4 linked regions of the Caenorhabditis elegans genome follow. The protein of the gene in region 1 interacts with the protein of each later gene in a pairwise test. Each region holds a gene or a part of one and is shown in the gene's direction. Other genes may lie near its edges. The genes, in order: sdz-12, ztf-15, rnf-1 and ceh-18.

What was found.
Region 2: the proteins of sdz-12 (region 1) and ztf-15 interact in a two-hybrid assay, tested with the Caenorhabditis elegans proteins (one large-scale study listed by BioGRID).
Region 3: the proteins of sdz-12 (region 1) and rnf-1 interact in a two-hybrid assay, tested with the Caenorhabditis elegans proteins (one large-scale study listed by BioGRID).
Region 4: the proteins of sdz-12 (region 1) and ceh-18 interact in a two-hybrid assay, tested with the Caenorhabditis elegans proteins (one large-scale study listed by BioGRID).

The regions. Positions count from the first base shown.
Region 1 is NC_003280.10:3,729,081-3,733,870, reverse strand, and holds sdz-12 (Zinc finger protein sdz-12), read left to right. Parts: upstream 1-2,047; 5' UTR 2,048-2,322; coding exon 2,323-2,439; intron 2,440-2,562; coding exon 2,563-2,619; intron 2,620-2,683; coding exon 2,684-2,824; intron 2,825-2,880; coding exon 2,881-3,099; intron 3,100-3,142; coding exon 3,143-3,322; intron 3,323-3,389; coding exon 3,390-3,488; intron 3,489-3,539; coding exon 3,540-3,719; downstream 3,720-4,790. Other genes in the region: bath-31 (BTB domain-containing protein), read right to left, coding at 794-913, 956-1,107, 1,152-1,687, 1,733-1,845. UniProt on the Caenorhabditis elegans protein: Together with ehn-3, may play a role in gonadogenesis.
Region 2 is NC_003279.8:7,253,450-7,259,797, forward strand, and holds ztf-15 (C2H2-type domain-containing protein), read left to right. Parts: upstream 1-2,061; 5' UTR 2,062-2,077; coding exon 2,078-2,101; intron 2,102-2,145; coding exon 2,146-2,259; intron 2,260-2,304; coding exon 2,305-2,394; intron 2,395-2,442; coding exon 2,443-2,529; intron 2,530-2,571; coding exon 2,572-2,787; intron 2,788-2,971; coding exon 2,972-3,445; intron 3,446-3,584; coding exon 3,585-3,977; intron 3,978-4,278; coding exon 4,279-4,773; intron 4,774-4,825; coding exon 4,826-4,969; intron 4,970-5,019; coding exon 5,020-5,172; 3' UTR 5,173-5,250; downstream 5,251-6,348. Other genes in the region: Mitotic checkpoint serine/threonine-protein kinase bub-1, read left to right, coding at 1-101, 146-333, 379-1,148, 1,193-1,682; myo-1 (Myosin-1), read right to left, coding at 6,015-6,155.
Region 3 is NC_003279.8:6,008,792-6,014,118, reverse strand, and holds rnf-1 (RING-type domain-containing protein), read left to right. Parts: upstream 1-2,532; 5' UTR 2,533-2,648; coding exon 2,649-2,655; intron 2,656-2,707; coding exon 2,708-2,781; intron 2,782-2,829; coding exon 2,830-3,004; intron 3,005-3,050; coding exon 3,051-3,242; intron 3,243-3,292; coding exon 3,293-3,435; intron 3,436-3,479; coding exon 3,480-3,596; intron 3,597-3,643; coding exon 3,644-3,727; intron 3,728-3,775; coding exon 3,776-3,862; intron 3,863-3,908; coding exon 3,909-4,010; intron 4,011-4,079; coding exon 4,080-4,244; 3' UTR 4,245-4,337; downstream 4,338-5,327. Other genes in the region: ints-1 (Integrator complex subunit 1 RPB2-binding domain-containing protein), read right to left, coding at 234-900, 1,126-1,490, 1,549-1,811, 1,866-2,061; C06A5.8 (RING-type domain-containing protein), read left to right, coding at 4,601-4,649, 4,699-4,778, 4,829-5,003, 5,130-5,327.
Region 4 is NC_003284.9:3,854,302-3,859,962, reverse strand, and holds the start of ceh-18 (Homeobox protein ceh-18), read left to right. Parts: upstream 1-2,165; 5' UTR 2,166-2,219; coding exon 2,220-2,265; intron 2,266-3,596; exon of another isoform or gene 3,597-3,597; coding exon 3,598-3,743; intron 3,744-5,531; exon of another isoform or gene 5,532-5,661. UniProt on the Caenorhabditis elegans protein: Directs gonadal sheath cell differentiation and function. Also directs gonad migration and plays a role in specifying the differentiated phenotypes of epidermal cells during postembryonic development.

The DNA.
Region 1 (4,790 bases):
CTAACCTTGCGATCTTCTTCTCTGTGACTCTTAACGACCTACTATTGATGAACAATCCAGTGATTTCACTCCATGCTACCCCGTTATCCAATTCCAATTTGAAATTATTGATCAAGCTCTGGGTTAAAGGCTTTGAATCCAGACCTTGAACTTTTCATTTTCTACATTTACAATGATTATCCCCACTCTAGCCCAGAGCTACTAATGCCTAATTCAGCCGAGGAATCTGATGTTCATGGCATGCGTGCCTATCGAATTAAAAACATTCATGGAACTTTTTCTATTTGGAGGTTCTGATTTCTTTATTCCATCGTTTTTTCTAATCAACACTACTTCTATTTACGACGACGACGACGAGTTACTGTCAAACACCGTCCGACGATTGAAATCTTCAATTTTTTCCAGTTTTTGAGATTTTTTTCGAGTCTTTCGAATTAAGCTTATTTTCGAAACCTCTAACTTCTTATTTTTCTATGTTTTTGAACTTCACTTTTCAAAACTATATTTTTAAACTCCACAAAATATAACTATGTATATGTCTTATCAAAATACTTTATGAAATGCTAGATAAAAGTTTCTTGAATTCTTGACTTGACTTTTTCTGGTTTGGTCTGGTTCATGATTTGAATTTCTTCTGTAAGTCTTCAAATTTTCTCATCAATATAATATAAAGAAAACGTAAATTTATTTTTTGTACTGGCAAATAAAACTTTACAATTGAAAACAGAGAAAAAATAGTGGCCAAAAATCAGTTATTAGAAAAATGCAATTCATATTTGAAAACGAACAATTTTTAAACTTCAAGAACTCGCTTCAAGACCCGCTTCATCAGGAATGGGCTCATTTCATCAATGTTTCCAGCGATAATTGAGCGGACATCTTGGATGGTTTTGATGGTGTTGCAGCAGTGAATCTGGAAGATAAAATAAGGTTATATTCAGGTGCACGCACTTACCTCTAGTTTCTCCAACTTGTATCTAATTGCCAATTCCAATTTCTTTTTCCCGGACTTCTCGGACTCCTTGTAAAGAAATTTCTCGCATTTCCCAATAACCGCTCTAGAATCGTACATGTCAGCAAGTTGAAGGATTCCTTCGACGGTATTGTCTGAAATTTTTAAATTATTACCAATGTGAGCACTAAAAACTAACCATCAATCGAGTCCTCCAAATAGAGAACTTCCAAAAATGCCTGGAAGGCTTCCGGGTCTATCCCAGAGAGGGTAACCTCTGATTTCTTCGACTCGCCGAAACTGCCAAAGAACAAGGATTTGAAGTAGGAGCACTGCAGAGCGAGATGCTTTCTCAGAACATGAAATCTCTGCTCATCCACTACCAAAACCACATCGGACAGCTCTCCCATAGACTCATTGTCGAACTTCAAAACCGGATCTCTTCCCTTGAACCCAGAAGCGTTCAATATTTGAACATGAACTTTAAAGTGTAGCGCATCTTCAATCACAAAGTTTTTTGCGACTTTCTCCCAATCGGCAAACTGCTTCCATCCCCATGAGTTTTCCTTCGGCTTCTCACTATTGAAATTTACAGTGGCTGTTTTGCAGTGGGGAGATTCATTGGGAGATCTAAGCTTCACTTCAACATTCGCCTGAACTGACCAAATTGTGCCAAGTTGGTCGCAACTAAGATACACCTCAAGTTGATCAGTTCTTCGATTGACATGGAGTTTCCTGGAAATATAAAAATTTAAATAAAAAAAGGAAAGTTAAAAATACCATGGAATATAGTAATATTCTTTAACCTCGCTGCAATAAGTGGTATCCGGCTTGAAGTTGGAGATTGCTTTAATAGTGTAAGTTGACACAAATTCCTTTGTTATAACGAGCATGTCTACTAACCTACTAAATTGCAGAAAAATGACGAATAGGAAGACTTGTAGAGGCAGATTATGAGTGAATAACGCTAGGAGATAATCTTAGTGGATCGATAAAATAATGCATAATGCAGCGTCTCGTTTCCCGGCAAATTTGGCACAGTTGGCAGCTGGTCTTCCAAAAATGTTGTGAATTTTGTTAAAGATTACAATATTCCCCCCAAAGAAGGTGCATCGTCAATGGAGAAATTACTGAAAAAACTGAGATACTGAAAAACTCAATCAGCTCTACAATGTGCAATTACACACATTTCATAAATTCGTCGGCCCCGCTTCTCCAAAAGCCCCAACGTCATATGTGACGCAACTTCTCACAGCTTTCGAGGACACAGTCTTTGAACTTATGTACCTCTTTTTGCAACTACGCAAAAACATTTCTCACTCCCCTTCCTCCCTGCCCTCGGACAATCCGCAGAGATTTCTTCTGTGAAAATGAGTTTGTCATCACTAGACGCCGTATTGTCGCTTATTGCAACCTCTTCCACTTTGGATCAGGATTCTGCTAAGGTGCCCCAGTGTCAAGTTTGCAAAAGAAAGTTCGCGAATCAGGTTAGTTTTTGAAGTGAGCAAAAAAGTGTTGTTAATTTATCTTAATTTTACAAAATTTACTGTACAGCAGATAATCTTCCTTTTTTTGCTAGTTAGTATATAGAGCTCACTACCATTTTTCAGAAAACGCTGAGAACGCACATGAAGCACATTACGTGTAGGCCTGGACGTTCCAATGTGGTGAGTTTTTGAGAAAATGTTTAAGCCACTGAGCTTCTCCTCCTCCAACTATACGTTTTTTCAGGTCAATCACAAATTCAGATGTGAAAATTGTGAGAAACAATTCACCAACAAGCCAAACTTGAAGCGTCATCAAATAACTCACTCTGGTTCAAAATCCAAGAAGTGCAGCACTTGCCAGAGAACATTCTTCAGGGAAGATCAGGCAAGCAGATTTTATTCCATTTTTCCTGTTCAATTCCAGCAATTTGTAATTTTCAGCTTCAAAGGCACCTGCACAACCATCTCAAGGAAAGATCACATTTCGACTGTCCCGTGTTGAACTGTTCAATGCAGTTCGTATTCTATGAGGGCGTTGAAAATCATCTCGTAAACCATCACCACTTTTCATACAGCGAATCGGCTCCGTGTGGAAAATGCCACAAGTTATTCGGGAGTCCTAGGCATCTCCTGGTACACTACCATTTTGATCATAAAGAGGTGAAAAGCTTTATAATTCTTTAAGACTTAACAATCCTTTCAGGCTCTGCGCTCTTCGGCTCCTGCTCCCACAAGCTCCGCCAGACTGTCACCTATCACCGTATCAACTTCAGGAAGTCCCAGAGCTCAGTTGGCAATCTCGCCACAAGAGAAGCCGCCTCAAAAATTGAGCATAAATCTAGGAACTTCCCCGATGATCGAAGAATTCTGTGAACAGAACTCGGTATGTTTTCATTTTCAATATTGGTTTTGGTGCCGTTCTTTGAAACCATTAGACTTGAAATTTTCAGGCAACTCTTCCAAACACTGATCAACAGCTCTCACCAACTCTAAGCCCCAATGAGCCAAGGTTTAGAAATCTAATTACCAGTGAGCCAACCCCAAGCTTTGTAAGTTCTTAAGTTTCAAAGTACACTTTCATCAACTCAAAAGCTCTTCAGGAATGCAAGCACTGCACGATCAAGTTCCACGATGCCACAATGAGCATCATGCATAACGCCCTTCACGCGCCAGGAAGCCCATTCAAATGTGCAATTTGTGGAGCAGAATGTGGAAATAAGATCGTGTTCACCATGCACATCATCACTGCGAGTCATGATTTTGGTGGCATAGGAACTTAATTGATAAGATTCTACTGCTTAATTAATATTTTTTCTTGTTAAAAGTACTCAATGAATCTCGTTCTCGCCCTTGAAGGAAACTGATAATTGTTGATAACTACGGTAACCTACAGTACCCTATTCTATCGTGATCACTGATTTTATGGAGTAATCAAACAATTAGTTGGTCTTCAGAATACAGGACTGGTAGATCAAACTACGCATAGTTTCTTTTTCTATCTACATCTTCTTCACTCTCCTTCCCATTTGCTCTCTGCCAATACCGCGCGCCAAATCGATAATTGCGCCCCACCAAAACACTCTGCGCGGGTTCATTTATTCCTTCACCTCTACTCTCTTATCAATGGACCTGCCTGAAGCTCAAGCTCTTGTGCCAGTTTATTCTCAGGTACTGTAAAATTTTCACAAATTAATTAATAAAGGATCCATTTTTTTTCAGGAATTGCGCAAGGTGCAACAGTTCAAGTAATTACATTCTCAGAAATCTCTGAGCAATCACATACGGAACACCAAATGTGGACTTGGGCTGTCTTCTTACGAAGACGTTAGTGCTTAATAGATAGCGTTTGGCATCATAATCTATCTATCTCTATCTAACTCTATCTAACTTATCTATTTCAGAGGTACACCTGCGAATTCTGCGGATCGAAATACAATTACCAAAGAAGCCTGGTCAGTCATATGAAAAGTCATCTGGAAACTGAAACTGCCGCTTCTCCAGCTCCTATGCAGACCAACTATCTCACGTGTCCTATTGGTCAGTGCGAGATGAAGTTCAGTTCGCAAAAGATACTTCTCGAACATCTTTTCTGTCGCCACATAGGCCAGGTGCAAGAAGTGTAAAGCTCCGTTCGCCAGTGTTCAAGGACTCCTTGCTCATTTCAAAGAGAAACATTGTGGACTGAAGGTAGAATCAGCGACAACGTCAGCAGACGCCGCGCAGAACACTTTAGGGGAGTTATTGAATGCGATGGGAGCTTCTTTGTCAGCAGAAAGAATAGATGGTGGGCCAAGTCAGGAGCTCAGCAAGGAAACGGATTTGCAGGAAAGCTTGTTCATAGAGTCTTCAGC
Region 2 (6,348 bases), on another chromosome or scaffold:
ACCGGAAGAATCTCAGAAAGTTGAGGAATCTGAAGTACAACCCGAAATTGTCCTAGTTTCTCCAGTGACGCAAACCTCACCAGCTACAATGTTTAATGATAGTGGGTTTATCGAAAAATATAACAACTTATGTTTTAATTTTTAGTTTATGACGATGAAATCGAGTTTGGCTTTTTCAAACCGTCTCGTGGTAATTTCGTCACATCGACCCCCGCACAAGGAGTTCATTTGGTCAACATTGATGAATATTTCGGAAATAAAGAGGAGGAAAGCACTCACGAACAGGAAGCTCCAGTATTTGTTGCTCCAACCAGCAGTACTTTCAGTAAATTAGTAAGTGCCAGACAAATTTTCGACATACTATTCAAACTTTTTCAGACACGTCGAAAGTCACTAGCAGCAAATCAAGCCGTTCAGCCCTCAGTCACAGAGTCATCAAAGCCTGAACGATCAGATCCTAAAGATTCATCTATCGATTGTTTGACAGCTAATCTAGGAAGACGTCTTTCAATTGGTGCTGATGAAATTCCAAATCTCACTGAAAACAACGAATCTGAAATCACTGGTTGCAAGATTCGTCGGCGCAGTGAAATTATCAAGCAAGGAGACATCAATCCATGGGACGAAACTCTTCGAAAAAAATTGATGTGTCTTGTGCGTCCTCCCCAGAATATGCACGAGTTCCAAGAACGAGCACCGAAGATTCAAGCTCTGAGAGACTGCGAGGTTAGCGGAGAAAAGCTCCACATTCAAACTCTTATTGGTCAAGGTGGATACGCTAAAGTATACCGGGCTGTAACCGATGATCAAAGGACAGTAGCTGTGAAGTACGAGGTGCCATCATGTTCGTGGGAAGTGTACATTTGCGACCAAATGCGGAATCGCCTGAAAGATCGAGGTTTGGAGCTGATGGCCAAATGTTGCATTATGGAAGTGATGGATGCTTATGTTTATTCAACTGCTTCGCTTCTTGTTAATCAGTACCACGAATATGGAACGCTGCTTGAATATGCGAATAACATGAAGGATCCGAATTGGCACATAACCTGCTTCTTGATTACCCAAATGGCCCGAGTTGTGAAGGAAGTCCATGCCTCTAAAATTATTCATGGAGATATCAAACCGGATAATTTTATGATCACCAGAAAGTATGGGAAAACATTTGTTAATTTTAGACGTTATCTTTTTTCAGGATCGATGATAAATGGGGCAAAGATGCTCTGATGAGTAACGACAGCTTTGTCATCAAGATTATCGACTGGGGACGTGCCATTGACATGATGCCACTGAAGAACCAGCGTTTCAAGGGAAGAGCAGGAACAGAAGCGTTTGATTGCCCGGAAATGGTTGACGGTCGTTCTTGGACTTACCAAGCCGATTACTTCGGATTCGCCGCAACAATGGCTGTCGTTGTTGCAGGAAAGTATGCACAGTTGACTGGAGCTAGCGTTGGAGACTATTCGTTAAATGTCGACATCAAGAGGCGCAACATTCTTCGCGATGCTTGCTACGATGTCATTAACAGATTCCTCAACATCCCTTCGTGTGATTCACTTCCGGACTGGAATATCCTGATCAAGTCTTTCTCGGAAATCTGGAATGAAAAGTTTGAAGCATCGGGATGGCGACAGGCGGTTTCCAAGTTCAATGAGGCCTGTGATCTTGCCGCCAACCAAAAGTAGCCCAACACAATGAATTTGTATTTCGTGCTCTTATTGCTCTCTTTTATTGTCTTTTGTATTGATATCATGTGAATAAACTCGTTCGGAGCTTTAATAATTGTGCATCTAATTTATTTCTGGTAAAACAAATTGAATTAAACGAAGTTTTCAGTTTTTGAAAGCTTTCCAAATTTGAACGTGATATTCGAGATTGGGCGCGGCGAGACCCATCACGGTAGAAATTTGATGCGCCTTTAAAGGGAAGTATTGCAATAGATCACAGTTAGATCTAAATAGTTGCACATTCGTTTTGTTTCATCAACTGTTTTCTTCGCGTTTTGCATAAAATGTGATATTTAAAAAAGAATTTAGAAAAAATTACAATTAAAATATTTTCCAGCCATCCTCTTGTAAAAATGGAAGAATCAGATCAGACTGTGGTGAGCGCTAGTGTTTAATCAACTTATTTTGCAAAAAGTTTCAGCTTTTACCAAATGTCGAAAATGAAATTGGCAGTTTTTATCATGACATGCCTGATGAAAAATTGCTTCGTCATATCAAAGCAATTTTCGACGAAGCTTCACTTCGACCATCTTTGGTATTTAATCTTCATTGAAACCTCAACATAAAGTTAGAGTTGTAGACTAAAAACGTGCCATCCACATCTTCACAAGTCACAGAGGAATTGAATAAAGTTGAAATCAGAGATCCAAAGCATGAAATGCAAGATGAGGTTGAAATATAAATTTGGTAAAAATGCTGTATAATTTTCGAATTCCAGCAATATCTTTCAATATTCGAAAATCCGTCCGGAGTTCAGTACAACCAAGCTGATGGCTCATTTTCGTGGAATAATCGCTTCCATAGTGTAAAAACCAACTGTAATTCATTTTCTAATGAACATTTTCAGGACAACAGCGTCCAATACATAAACGTGTTGAACAACTATGGTTGTGAAGGTGCTGATACACTATTAAATCAGTCAGACAGTAGCGATGAAACCGATGAAAGTATCGAAGAAAGACGGACCCCACGAGGAAACCGGCAGTCGCGTAGTAATTTGACATCGAAACCCTCTGCCAAATATTGGACAAAAAGAGGAGGAGATCCAATTGTTAATTGCTCGGTTAGTTCATTTTAGTTCTATATCTCATTCTCTGTAAATGAACAAAAACCTTCACTATTATCACTATTATACCATATCACTATTATAGATTTATTTATTACAACTTAAAAGTGTGTACCAACCATCAAATTTCTCAAAATCTAAAGCATAACATTCTGAACATGATTTTATTCTTCAATTTCAGTGCTCAATATGTGGATCCAAATTTTCAACCATTCGCTGTCTTCTTGATCATCGTCATCAAGAACATTCACTGAAAGATATGATGATGTGTGGTCTCTGTGGAAAAGAGTTTTCGAAGCGAACACATATCTATTTGCATCTAAGTCAAGAATACAAAGTATATCATTGTGACGGTTGCAATACATCGTTTGCCAGCAAATGGCACTTGGAAAAGCATCGATGTAAGGAAAATGAAACAATCGACGATAAAAAACGAAGAAGAACGGGACGTGTAAATGCGGAAGAAATAAAAGTAATAAAAGAAGAGATTCAAGATGAAGAATTTGGTGGCGTTGTTTTGTCTAATGAGAATCATGAAAAATCAAAAGAAGACCGTTTCCAATTCGCTTGTGTATTATGTGGAAAGAAATATCAACACTATCATTGGTTGCTCAAACATAGAACCAAATGCTTGGAAACAACGGACGAAATTCAGGTGGAGAATGTTTAGTGAAACGTTTTTGCGAGAACTTCACTAATTGAAAATATAAACTAATTTAACAGATTATTTTTTCTTGTTTTACAAAAAAAAAATAAATTTCAGTCAGAGATGGGACATAAACATTGTTTTGCAGGAATTCAAGTGCAATGTTTGCTACCGAAGATACAATTCGAGTTTTTGGTTCGAACGCCACATGGAAAAGTGTAATTCATCTACTGCACTTCCTCCTGCGCTTTTAGATCAAACCATAAGCTGTCCAAACTGTCATAAAAAATATCAAAATGAATATTGGTTTGATTATCACAAGAAGCATTGTCCAGACATTACTCCAGCTCTTTCTGATGTACATTTGGATGTCAACTCGTTGCGGGACAGACGACCACGTGAAGGAGAGATCAGCGTGGTTCCAGATGTCAATTTATTTGGTATAGAACCTGAAAGAGAAGACGACAATGACGATGACGAAGATGCTGATGCTACCATTTCATCCTCATCTTCTTCGACTGGGAATTTGGTCAATATTCCGGTAGATTACTTCATTTCTTTTAAATCTTTTTGTTTGGTTAACATACTTCTTTCAGTAATCATGTCTTAAAATCTAAATTATCACCAAAGAATGTAAATTTAACATTTTGAAGTGAATGATTCATATGATAAGATTGTATTAAAAGGGAATACGTAATAGGATTACTGTAGCTGTATCTGCAATATTGCGGCAAAAATTGATTTCTATTGAAAAATTGAAAAATTGAAAATTGACAAAGGTATCATTATGTTTTACAAAATTGAAGCTCTAAATATGTTGTTCTTACATTATAAGTTTTCAGTGTTCCATCTGTGGAAAGTTCTGTGTCGGTGTTGCAAGTCTTCTTCATCATCGGAAGCAAATTCATGGATTGACTGCAATGCTAACATGTGGTGTGTGCACGAAAAAGTTCAATACACTAAGTTCGATTCGTCGTCATATGAGTATGGAATACTCAATCTTCCGTTGCCAACAATGTGGCCGAAACTGTATCGATCGAACCACTCTTGACCGTCACGAATGCTTCAAGCCATACAAGATCCGAGATAAGAGACTTTTCAATATTCAAAATATATCAGTTCTCAAGTGCCCTGACTGCAGAGCAACTTTTGCAAATTTGAATGTTCTGTCTGAACATCGCAAGACGTGTCAATACGGCAACGTATTTGATAATATTCAACAACCGGGAAGTTCTTCTTTACGACAACATCACAGGAGCGATACAAATGGAGCCGCGTTGCAGAGAAAAATCACATCCCGTGTTCGTCTAGATTCGAATACTCCAGAGAAATGGACGGTTTGTTAATTTTCCTAATTAAAAAATAACGTTTGAGAATTTATAATTTCAGTGCCGAGATTGCCACGCCTCCTTTCATAACCTGCAAGCGTTGTGCTCACATCGACACGAATCTCACGGAAAAGAAATGTTTCAATGCAACAACTGTTCTGAAACCCTTCCAAACTATCGTGCTCTCCATGATCATAATATGATGGTAAGTTTATATGTAATGAATTTATATCACATATGCTACAACATGACCAGCATTGCAGGAACAATAGATCTACAAATGAAACAACTACGAGAAGATATTCGGAAGAAGACATCAATTACGATTACATGGACAATGTACAAATATTCGTCGTAGAAGAAAGTGAAATTTTCATTCCTATTCAACCGCATTTCTCGAGAAAGTAGATAATTCTTAATACGATGTTATGTACTGCTCCCTTGTGCTTTATTCTTTACTTTTCAGACAATAAAATTTTGAACGTTCTGTCTTCTAGATTTAAACCTTCTTCAATTAAACTCCATGTTTACTATTATTCGTTCTTCAACATTCCACAAGAAGAAAACGTTTTGTGATTCTTACCAAGCAAAGGGAGTTCCTGGAAAAAACCACAGCGCGAAACCGTACTACTTGAGTGAAGTATCCTGCCAGATCCTGGTGTCTTATCATCATTTGTGCAGAGTAAATAGAAAAGAAGAAAGAAAGAAAGAGATTGTATTTACATAAGAGAGTCTTAATTACAACTTTATTCTTGAAAAAGAAGAGTTGATGATGATGATGACAGACACACCGTTTGCGTTTTTTGAATTGATTTGATTTTCTAGAGCCTGGGGCTTTTGGAAGGCAGTTTACTGATTGATAATGTGGAGGGTCGATCGCTAGAATCGAAAGAATTATGATGTCAACGAGACTTTCAGATTATATCAATTTCAGACGTGTGGAGCGTCGGGAGAAATCAACAGAATTTAAAGATCAACGGAGACTCGGCGCGCGAATCGTTCAAACAGAGAGTGAGAGAATATGATTGAGACTGAAACTTTAACAATTAGGAAAAAGGAAACTGAGAAAAACTTGATTATAAACAAGATATGTGGGGGAAAATACAAAACTATGAGAAATTATTTGTGTGTGCAGCACTGCTGAAAAAGATGATGGACAGGAGGAAGAAAATCGACGAGAGGTTTTGAAGGTCAATGGGGAAGTGAAGTTTTGTGTGTGGGGACCATGGAAATTTATTCAGGGGGCAAATTTACTTGTTGGTAGCCGAACGAACAACTTGACCGCGCATGCGAACCAATGAGTTCTCGGCAACCTCGGCACGCTCTTCGGCATTCTCGAGAGCGAGTTGGATCTGTCGGAATTTGGACAGATTCTGGGTGGCGACCTCTTCCTGAAAATTCAAACTTTTAGTTTTTGTAAATAAATTTGAAAAAAAAAACAACATTTCACGACTCCAACTTTGTGGAATCATATTTGGTATTGCAAATTCATGAAAACGTGAAACATAACTTTAAAGGCACACGCAGTTTTTAAAAGTTGGTCTCGCCACGACCTCTTATATTCAGTGCACTACTATGATCAAA
Region 3 (5,327 bases), on another chromosome or scaffold:
AACGCTCGAACCAATTTCAAATGGAACATTGTGAAAACTATGTCATGTTTTTCTTCTGAATTACAGCAGTTTTTACCAAATTCGAAGCATCAAATTTAGCGAAAACTGCTGAAATGCAGAAAAAATAGACAACATTTTTGTAGCTTTTGGGGGGAAATTTCGAAAAATGACATGTCGGTTGAAATTTTCTTTATTATTTATTTCAAGGTTCCTGGATTAAAATCTAAATTTACCGGTTCTCCTCGCCGCTGAACTTTATTGAATAATGTCTCCGCAAACACTGAAAATGGGAAATCTCCGGATTTTGAGTGATAAAATCCACGAATGAGCTCTCGCATGAAAGCTCTGAGCATTTTCACGCAATTTTCCTTTTCTTTAAACAATTCCTTCGATATTATTACTGCTAGAGCTTTTGTGGCTTCTGTTGGTTGATTTTGAAGGATCATATAAATTGTTTGTAGATTGGTGGGAGATCTATTTTGTGCTGGTCCAGTTTCATTAATAAAAAGTGAATCCAATACAATTTCGACATTCCTTGACACCTCACAAATCGTTTTAATCGCTTGAGTGAATGGTCCAACCACAGTTCGTGTTTTCATATTTTTCGTGTTCAATTTCAGTAGAATATCGATGATTTCCTTGTCCAACTCGTGGTTTTCCGCGTTAATATTCGACCCGATCACTAGCAAAAGCTCACTGATTTCTCGATGGAATTTCTGAAGAGTTATCCAAATTTCCAGACGGTTCGCAATGAAAAGACGAATGTGCTCGTAGCCACAGAGAAGGCAGAGAGCACGGAAAAGAGGTTTTGGAAGAACTTCACCGCGAATTGTGTCGAACCAGGGCTTCAGGAATTCCAGAAAGACGTCTAACTGCTTTTGGTGAAGATTCGAGCGGGGACTGAAATCAAAAATGTATTAAAATTAAAATTTGACTTATTCTTTAAACTGTTTTTTTTATTTCCACTTTTCTAACACAGAATAAAAATTTCTTCTGAGATTTTGATAAACTTTAAATGCTTTTCAGCTAGTATTACACCGTTGTTTGTAGATGCTGCTTTTTGTTTCTGTTTAAATTAGGAAAAATATAAGCGAAATTTTTTCTAAAAAATCGTAAATTTATTACCTTTTTTCCCTCGACTTCCCCACTTTTTCAGAGAAGAAGCTCAAAAATTCGGAAATGGCAAAATTCTCAACCTGGCACTGCGCATACATTGCCGGAAATGGATAGACAGTTTCAAACGGATCCAAAATCATTTTCACAAGCTCTGCCGAGCACTCTTTTTCAATCCAGGAGCATCGATTCATTGTGCCGAGTCCAACGCTCATTCCAATAGAATCATGGAGAAATGCTGTTAGATAACATTTATCAAGAATTGGTTGTTGCCTTGCAAGTGAAGTGATTATTGAGATGAATAGTTCGAGAATATTGTCAGGATATGATCGAGAATTGCAAATTACGAAGAGCAGAGCGCGGTGGAGAGGAATTTGCTGAAAATTTTTCAATGATTAGAATTATTCTCCAAGTTTTTGTTAGATTTGAACCAACATTTAGCTTATCCCCATGATTTTTTACGGTTTCCGCAATTGTTCCCATTATTCTGAGCTCCACTTTCAACTTTTCTCCGACAAAGAAGCTCTTGAGCGCGGCGACGAACATTTTAGCGATTTTTGTAAAATGGCCCGCTAAAATCGCCTCCTGTACGCTTTTCTGGAAGGTTTCGATGTTTAAATTGATTGTATCTCCAAAATCTTTCCATTGATCATCGAGATTGGGGCGAACGAGATGGCTGGATTGTAGGGATGGATTTGCTGGAAATTTGTTTAATTATTAGGTGTTTTCTGGGAAAAATTGAAAATTTTTACCGGAATTACTTAGCGTTGGCTTTGGTGGAATACAAGTTTTTGATCTAAAATCCAACTTCGCTTTAACTCCTCCAGAAGTTGACGGTCCGCCAGTGCCTCCACTAGTCGTCGGGAGTTTATGGTTCAGTTTCGCCTTTTTCATGTCCTCCGGCTTCATAATCGTATCATTTAGGCGTTTGTGTTTTTTACGTTCCATTATTTATAAGATTCTAAACGAGAAACTCTTAAGATTTTCCGGAAAATAATGATAAAAACGGTTGTGAAATTGAATGAGAATAAAAAAACGAAACAAGCACGAGTGAGGCAGGTGCGCTCCAATGCGAATTTCTTTGCGCGGATGTTTAAATGGTTATTTTTTTATGGGAATCGACAAGTCACATGCTACGCTAGAGAGAGTTTTACATTTTACAGTCTTTTTGGAATTTAATAATATATATATTATCATAAAATCGAATAAAAATTGTTTCGAATAATGAATAGCTTTGTTTTTTCGTCTTGACTTCTGAAATAATTTTAAATTTGAGAAAAATTTGTGTCGCAATATATAATTATTAATATTATTAATAATGTAATTTTTTTATAATAAACTGATTTATATTTTAAAAACAAAAAAGGAATGACAATTCAGTTTAGTTTTATGAAAAACTTTGAAAAGACAAAAATAATTACAGTAAACGCGCTCCGCTAGACTCCCCAAATTTGTTTTTGTTTTCCAGGCTTGTGTCCAGGCAAATTCCAGCTTTCTTTTTGTTTCAGAATTTCTAGGTATTTATCTCCGTGAAAATGAGCGGTAAGATTGACAATCTCGAGTTTGTATTAAAATTTATTAAATTTCATTTCAGAAAAAAATACCGAAAATCCAGAAATTCTATCAACAGTCTTGGCTGGGTACTGCCAGTGCCAAGTCTGCTATCAGGTACTAATTTCCTAGTTTTACTCAATTTTCTACAAAATATGTTTGCAGCCTTTTAATGAAACCACAAAATTGGCTCGGTCCTTGCACTGTGGCCACACTTTCTGCACAGAATGCATCAGAAACGTGCAAAACTACGGTAATTCCCCACATTTAGAGTGCCCTACTTGCCGTGCGGAAACTAAAAGCAACATCGAAAATGTAGCACCAAATTTTTCAATTATGGGTAAGTTTTACCTCTTTTGAGTATTGAAATCCACGTTTTTTCTCAGAATTGGCAAGGAATTTCGGGCTTCTGGGTCCTCCAGTTGACGCTCCGCGAACTTCCTCTAGTTGCTGCTCAAATAAAACGAATAGAGATGAAATGATTGATAATAAATTCCGCGAGCTGCTTGTTGAAGTAAAAAGCAGTCTCATTCACCATTTTGACGTTTTCCGCATCAAATCACAGCTATGGAGTCTAGGCAAAGCCAAATGTGTATAAGTATTTTCTATAAAAACTGAATTTTTTCAGCAGAAGCCGAGCGAGAGGTCAGCAACATGGCTGAAGCCTTGGCAGGGGCTGTTTCTGAATGTTATTACGATTCTGACGACAATTCTGATGCGAATTCTGAGGATCAGCGAGTTCGAACTATGCTAAGGTTCTTGGCAGCAAGAGTTAGTTGATATTTTCCATGCTCCCTTGATTTGAAAATTTTCAGGACAGCGATTCTGAGACTACAGAAGACTCAACAGATTTTCTAGAATCAAATACTACTGTCCCGGACAGAACACTGGGTGGCGGTTTCTATCGCAATTTTCGTCGTCTTTTTGGAGACGTTAGTTTTCATCGAGTTAAACATTTAGAATAGAAAAAATCTTTCAGGAAAACGAACTAGATGATCCAGGTGTGGTTTCAGGTATTGAGGAGGCGGCCGCCTACCGACGTTTTCGAGGACTTTTTGGAAATGTAAGTGTCACTGTCGACAAGTTTATATTTTAGAAAAAATGTTTGCAGGACAACGACAGCATTTCGCAGGTTTCCACAACTTCCGGCAGTTTTGGGAATCATGAGAATGATCATTTTTGTCCGTTTTCCGATGACGTTAGTAGGACTTTGAATTCGATTGTTAATCTTTTTTCTAATTCAGGATAATATCTCCGAATGTTCCGATGACTACTATCCCACATTGGTTATGCCTGAAACAGATGAAGAGGAGACGTACAAAAGTTTTCGCTGCCTTTTTGGAGATGTATGTAAATTTATTGTCAGACGGCTATTTTTTAAACTAAAACAGCTGAAATTAAGAAAAAAATTCCAGGAAAACGGGAACCTCGACTTTTCCGACGACGAAAAAGAATTCTCCGACAATGAATCTTCACTCAGCTCAGTTTCCACTGAAGACTTTCCGAATTCGCACATAGAAGAAGCCGGCAGAGTTCTTCACAGATTTCTTCTGCTCTCTGCTCTTCTGAATGAAGAATAAATTACTATATAATTCAATTTTATCCCGTCTCCGCCTGAAATTTTTGTATTGTTTTACATGTTTTAATAGAGAAAATAAAGATCTCTTCTTGTTTTCCCCTGAAAAATCTGTGCGATTTCCTTTATTTTATTTTCGCTTTTGTTTCTCTTCAAAAGTGTTTTTTTTTCTCATTCAAAAATTCAGGACTTTCAAGGGAACCACATTTATTTGGAAAGGTCTCGCCGCGAAATCATAATTCAAACATGGTTGTTCATGTGCCTTTAAGATTACTGTAGAAAGTTTTGGAAGAAGTTTTGAATTTTTTTCTCCTTTCTTTCCCAAAAATCACCTACTTAATTTAGCATTTTCAGCCATAAATGTCCGCAACAAAAAGTGAAATGCCTGCGGATGTGGCATCTGTAACAGGTAATTTTTCGTTTTTATAAGATCTGGTTCCAAAATTCGAAAATTCCAGATAGTTCGGCTGCGTCGCCTGCATTCCCGCTGATAGGTGATTTTCTCGAGGAGTTTCTCAAATGCCAAGTCTGCTGCACTGTGAGTGCCCCACTTGTTTTATTGTTCAAAAATTAAACTTTCCAATTTAGAATTACAATGAGACGACAAAGCTGGCTCGTGGTTTGCATTGCGGACATACGTTCTGCACGGAATGTATCAAAACAATGCAAAAATACGGAAATTCGGCGTATTTGGAGTGCCCGTCGTGTCGCGCGGAGACTAAATGTGATATCGCGGCTGTTTCGACCAATTTTGCGATTATGGGTGAGTCAGGGAATGAAAAATCGGTTTCAATTCATTTATCGCAATTTTATAAATATTATGCAATGTATCCTTGCTTGTATTCTAAAACGAAATGTTCTAAAAGCTAATTTTCACTATTTTCTCCAGAATTGATTCGAAAATGTGGTTTCCTTGGACCGGAGAAGCCTGAAGAGCCGCCAATGAAACAAGCCGCCCAACCACAATTGGAGCAAACGATTGACGAGCTGATCGATGAAGGATATCGACTTTTGATTGCTGACGTGAAAGCGGATCTGATGGCAAAATTCGAGCAACTTCGCGATGTATCAAAAACTAGTACAATTG
Region 4 (5,661 bases), on another chromosome or scaffold:
CAAATAAATCGAATGATATTTCAAACCTCACCAGTTGAATTATATTAAAAGTTTAATGTTGTGATGAAGAGAACTGTGAATGTGAAAATTACATTTCACATCAACACGAGTGTACGATAGAAATGTACAGTTTTTTCCCTTTTAAATGCTCATTTTCAACGCAACTCGCTCTTTGCCAACTCAATCTCGAAATGTCAACTTTTACTTTTGGCCGCACATTGTTAGCACGGTGAATAGTCAAATGAGAGTCCATTTAGTCATGCCCCCCCCCACGCTTTCCACGCGCCCCTTCATTTTTCTCCGCCATTCACCAACTTTTTTATTCATTTTTCCTTGGGACCATGCAACGACTACATACATGTCCACCACGACTTCATTGTGATTATTCATAGAGCCATTTGGCTTTTTGGGGGGAGCCGGCCAAACGGCATTCTTTCGCTTGCATAGGCAAATGTCGTATATCCAGAGTGTCAGCAGGGCAGGAGCAGCGCTAGAAGCACCGTCGTTTCAAATCGACGCCATCTAATATGCATATTTGAACAACTGCGCGGTTTTGCCCACAGATCTGGCCGCCGCAATGCCTTTTTGCCTTTTACTGGCTAAACATGAATCCGACCAGTGCGATCATCCACATTTCCTCGTTTTACAGTACAGCTGAAAACAAAAAAAGATAATGGAGCTTTTGAAGGAATGGGGACTTTGTAGGAAAAGATAATAGATAATCAAGAGAAGTACATCACGTTTCGAATTGCCTCAACTTTAGGGCTCATGTGTCAATGCTCATTTCGTTAAGCTGATGACCTCTCGATATCGCATCTGTTTCTCCATGTTTCATTCATACTACTACCTATTCTCCGTCTTATCCCTTTTTCCTTCCCAATTCTTTGTCTCTTTCTTGCCAAACAGAACAACACCTCCCGAATCAACATTTTATCCCCCCACAATCAATCACTCAATAAAATCCATCAAAAATCTTTTGATAATCAAAAATGCCTCGGTGCCTGACTGCCGAACAAGCCGGCGGGGCGTCGTCTTTTTTGTTAGCAGTTGTGTTGTCTGTCATCCTACGTAATTTTGTGAAGACTCGAATTCATGAGCCAAGTGGTGCTCAAAAGACTAGGTAATGAATGTGTAGTGTAATGGCCGGGAAGAGTGAGCCTCATACACAAGATATCATATCATCTTATCTCCAAGATGTATTTCGAAGAATCTTTTTTGAATATTTCACATTCTCCATTTTTACAGAGCTAACTGTTTTTTCAGCTTCAACTAGAAATTTTCTCAACAGTGAGAATGCAAATACTTTCAGAAAATGATGTGTAAGTGACAAACATAGGCACTCTCGGAGCTACAGAACCAATTTCTCTTCTTATCATATGCAAATTTGGCGTTTTTTAATACTCTAATGTGTTATTCAAAGCTTATCAGTCAAATTTTCTTTATGATCTCATACAGTTCGGCAACATCGAAGTTTAAATTTCAAATTAGGACGCGATAGATTTTACCCTAGTTTCGTTCCTAGATATTAGAATAACTTAGATAATAGAAGAAAAGTGATGCGAAAAACAGGGACTCGAAAATTGTTTTAAACAAAGTGTCCTATGCGAAATTCACTTCATTTCTTTTATTTTTCTCTTCCTCTCCCACATTTTTCGTCGAGAGCTATCATAACAAGAAGAGCTGAACGCGATGCAGCAGTAGCCGCAGAAAAATCAGATCGAATCATTAGGCGCATGCGACAATTGGCTGAAAAATACTGAGACACAAGTCGCACTAGAACGCTTGGCTGTCAGCTAGTTAGGTGCCGCTCGGCTTTTCCTCCCCACCCCGAGAGTGGTTGATTTTATGCCAATATTACAACTTCTAGGGTGGCTCATTTTCCTGAATCGCCGATGCGATCACCCTCGTCGGCAATGAGTGGCCCCCACGCGTTTCGCTTGATCCATGCCGCCGATTTGCTCACATGAAACACATTCTTCATTTTCTTTTCTCAATTGACGGAATATTACATTTTGTTTATCTCGATTCTCTTTTCTCAGTCAATCTTTTCTGATTCGTCATACCTTCATTCACCTTCCAGCTTATACAGTTTCGATTTATTTTTAATTTTCATCTATCAAAACCACATTCTCTGTCGGTCTTATCCAACAGTGTCTCTGTTTCAGACGTAAAAAGTCTCTATCATCATCCTCACAACACATATCATCAATGCAAGAAATATGAACACCTTGGAGAACACGTTTCAATTTCTCGCAGAAGTATTCGGTAGGTGATGCTTTATCAATATCCGTTTCTTTTTCTAATTGTCGACTCTTCGGAGTCTGGTCACAAATCAAGCGCGTTGCTGTAATAATTCATTTTGACTGATTTTCGTGAAAAGCTAATGACAACGGTATGTTATAGGCGATGATTGTCTACCTGGACGCAACAATTTTTTAAAAATGTTGGTCAGATGCTCTTTTTTTGCAGTTTTAAAATCCAAATTCACTTGTGTAAAAAAAAAAAAAAATTAGGCGTTTTTCAAAAATTGTATGGGTTTTTTGATGAAAAAGTGAAACTTTTTGCACTTTTGAGCAAAACAGTTTTGTTGGGTTTTTTCTTGTTTTTTGAGCCTGAAAATGAAATATATGTACATTAAGAAACTAATTCATGTGTATACTAAAATCGAAATGGTATGTATAAAATAATTAAATATTTTTTGGAGTAGCAAACTCAAAATTATCAACTTTAGTTTTAACAACTCCAGAAATAACTTTTGAGAAAATAAGGGTCAAAAGTTTTTTTGAATTTTTGAATGCATTTTTCTGTATAGAAAATTGTCAGAAATTCAAAAAATTATAATACTTGCAAAACATTAAAATAAATTTTGGATACTCGATATGAAATCACTTCAGACAAAAATTAATTTCCAATGTTACGCTACCAGCTTTTCAAAAAAATTGTAAAAATTTAAAGTTTGACGGTAAACATTTTCCAAAACTCATTTACACTTAAAAAGCGGTTTCATAGCGCTAAAAATTTTACAGTAAACATTTTGAAAGAATTTTCAATTTTTTTACAGTCAAAGAGTGGTTAAAATTTAGTTTTGACCTAACATTTTGAAAACATGTATGTAAGTGTAGCAATGCTCAAATGTTTTTCTTGAATTTTCACCAAAATAATTATGGAGTGTTCTATTTTGATATTCGGCCATCTTAGAGTATTATAAAAATTGTTAGAATGAGTTATTTGACAATTACATTCACTGAAACGTTGATCAGTTATTAAATACTGTAAGTTGATTTGTAGAACAATGTACACAAAATAAGTAACTCCAAATTATCAATTAAAAGTTTATCATTTCATTGAAAAATCACAGTAGTGAAAGTACTATCAAAACTTGATCTATTGATCACCGTTCCGTGTGTCCTTATTTTCGCGTTCCACTACTTACACAGATTAACTCAAGTTCAGCGTCGTTGATGTTAGCTTTCGAAAAAAAAAACTTCTGCGCGAATTTGATTGGCATCGTGAAAATGAGATAACATGTTCTGATTGCTCAAAAAAGGAACTTTTCTGACTAGATGCTGCTCCATATTTCTTGTGCACATTTTTCAGAAGCCAATGGTGGTTGCCTTGTCACAGAACGTGTCAGTCCATCTTTGTCGGGAGCCAGCAAACGAAAAAGTCGACCGGTGAAGAGGATCATCACTGAAGACGAAGTAATCCCAGAAGAAGAAGTGGTCGAAGAAGAGGAAGAAGAGGTGAGTCTTTTGAAAACAAACTGCTTTCCAATTGGCTTTTAAAGTTACCTTTTTTCTCAAATACGTTTTTATTTGCAATCAGTGAAAAAAAAAATTTAAGCTGTTTCATAAAACTTTATATATACTAAAATGATTAAAAAAGCTATGAAAATAGTTATAAAATACCACACATCTAAATTAGTCAGTAATGTTTTTCCACTCTCATCGGACCCAAAATCAGACCTTTCCAATTCAACTCGGCCATCCCAGCCCATCGCATCCATTTGCTTTCTCAAGATGAAGCAGTGCAATGAAAGTGTGGGATAATGCAATAAAGGGGTGGCTAAAAAGGAAAAGAGATGCGGGTATCGAGATAAGCAGATTCGGGAGTTGGCCCTTGTTTATGATGTAGGACAAAACTAAAAGTAGGCAGAGGAGAAAGCCGAGCCGCGTCGTTCTGTGTTTTCAACTTTTCATATTGGTCCTTTTTTTAGGCGAAATCTTGGGAAATTTAGTGATTCGTCAAGATAAAAATTTTAATTTAAACTGTTAATTTACTGTTCTGGGCATGATCCTATTTTTTATCTTTAATCATCTTATTAGGGAAAAAACAATTTTTAGTTTTTAGTGCAAAATTCCAAACGAACCAGTTTGTTGCCTGTCTCAAAAATTACATTTTCAAATATGGATAAAAATTTAAACCATCGTCTTATTTAAAAAGTATTTTTTTAATTTATTTTTTAACATAGATTTTTACTGTTATTGTTAATGTGTACATATTATTTTATTTTACTCTTCTGTATCTAGAAATTCTGCATAGTTAATTTTAAGAAAGGGCTCGAAACAGTAAGATTAACATTTTTGAATAAATGTTCTAAATTTTATTTATTAGAACTTTTAATGTCTATTTTCATGACCGTTTCATAAAGAAATAACTAAAAAAATATCGTAAAAATAACTTTAGAAATTGATTCAACTAGATATTCCTTATCATTTTTGACCGAAAAGATATTTGGAAAAAACAGTATTGAGATGACGGTCGCTAACTATTTTCAGCGACTGCCACTGTATATAAACTGCTTCACTTTTTATACATACCTTTTTAGCACAAAAGTGTATTTTCTAATTACTAAAATTTGTTAAATTTCAAGCCTTTTCTTCTCACGTTTTCCAACTTTTCCCACGCTGTAAAAATTTTTTGTTTCGTAGTATTTTAATTTTGGATTAAGGTTCAGTCAGGTCATTTTATCATTTTTTTTTAATTAAAAAACAAAATTTTTGAATGTATTTTCAGTTCTTTTTTCCTTTACTTTTGTAATTAATTTTCATAACTTCTATATTCACATTGAAATTGTATCAAACTACAGCAGCTCTGAACATTTTTGAGCATCCTCAATTTTTTTTCAAAATTAGAGACCTCTGGAAATAAAGAAAGTAGGTTGGCTGACCCAATCATGCTGCAGCATTTTTCAATAAGTATCATGACCCGTCGGTCGCTGAGTAATTGAATAAGTAATGAGCATCGTCGTTTTGGTCCTGAAAATGGAGTCGACGACGACGACGACAAAAAGATGAGATCTTCCTTTACGGAACGAAAACGCCGGCGGTCCGTGCTTCGCGTGTGTATGGGTATGAGAGAAACGACCCCACTGAATGACTCGAGTTTTCGACGAGCACTTCCAGATTTGCTTGTTTTTCACATCGTTCCATTTCTATTCCCCTTAGTTTTTCGTTTCTTTTTTTTCAATTGCCTCAGATTTATACATAGCTGGAACGAGAGGAGAAATATTTTTTGGCGTGTGCCATTCTACGCCCGTCCACCCATTTGGAACGCTTCTTCTTCTTTTTTCCCCCATTTGGTCCCCTTCTCAATGTTTTTTCTGTGACGACTGGTAGCACCCACTCGGGCAGAGATTCCACTCCATCCGTTTGCCGATGC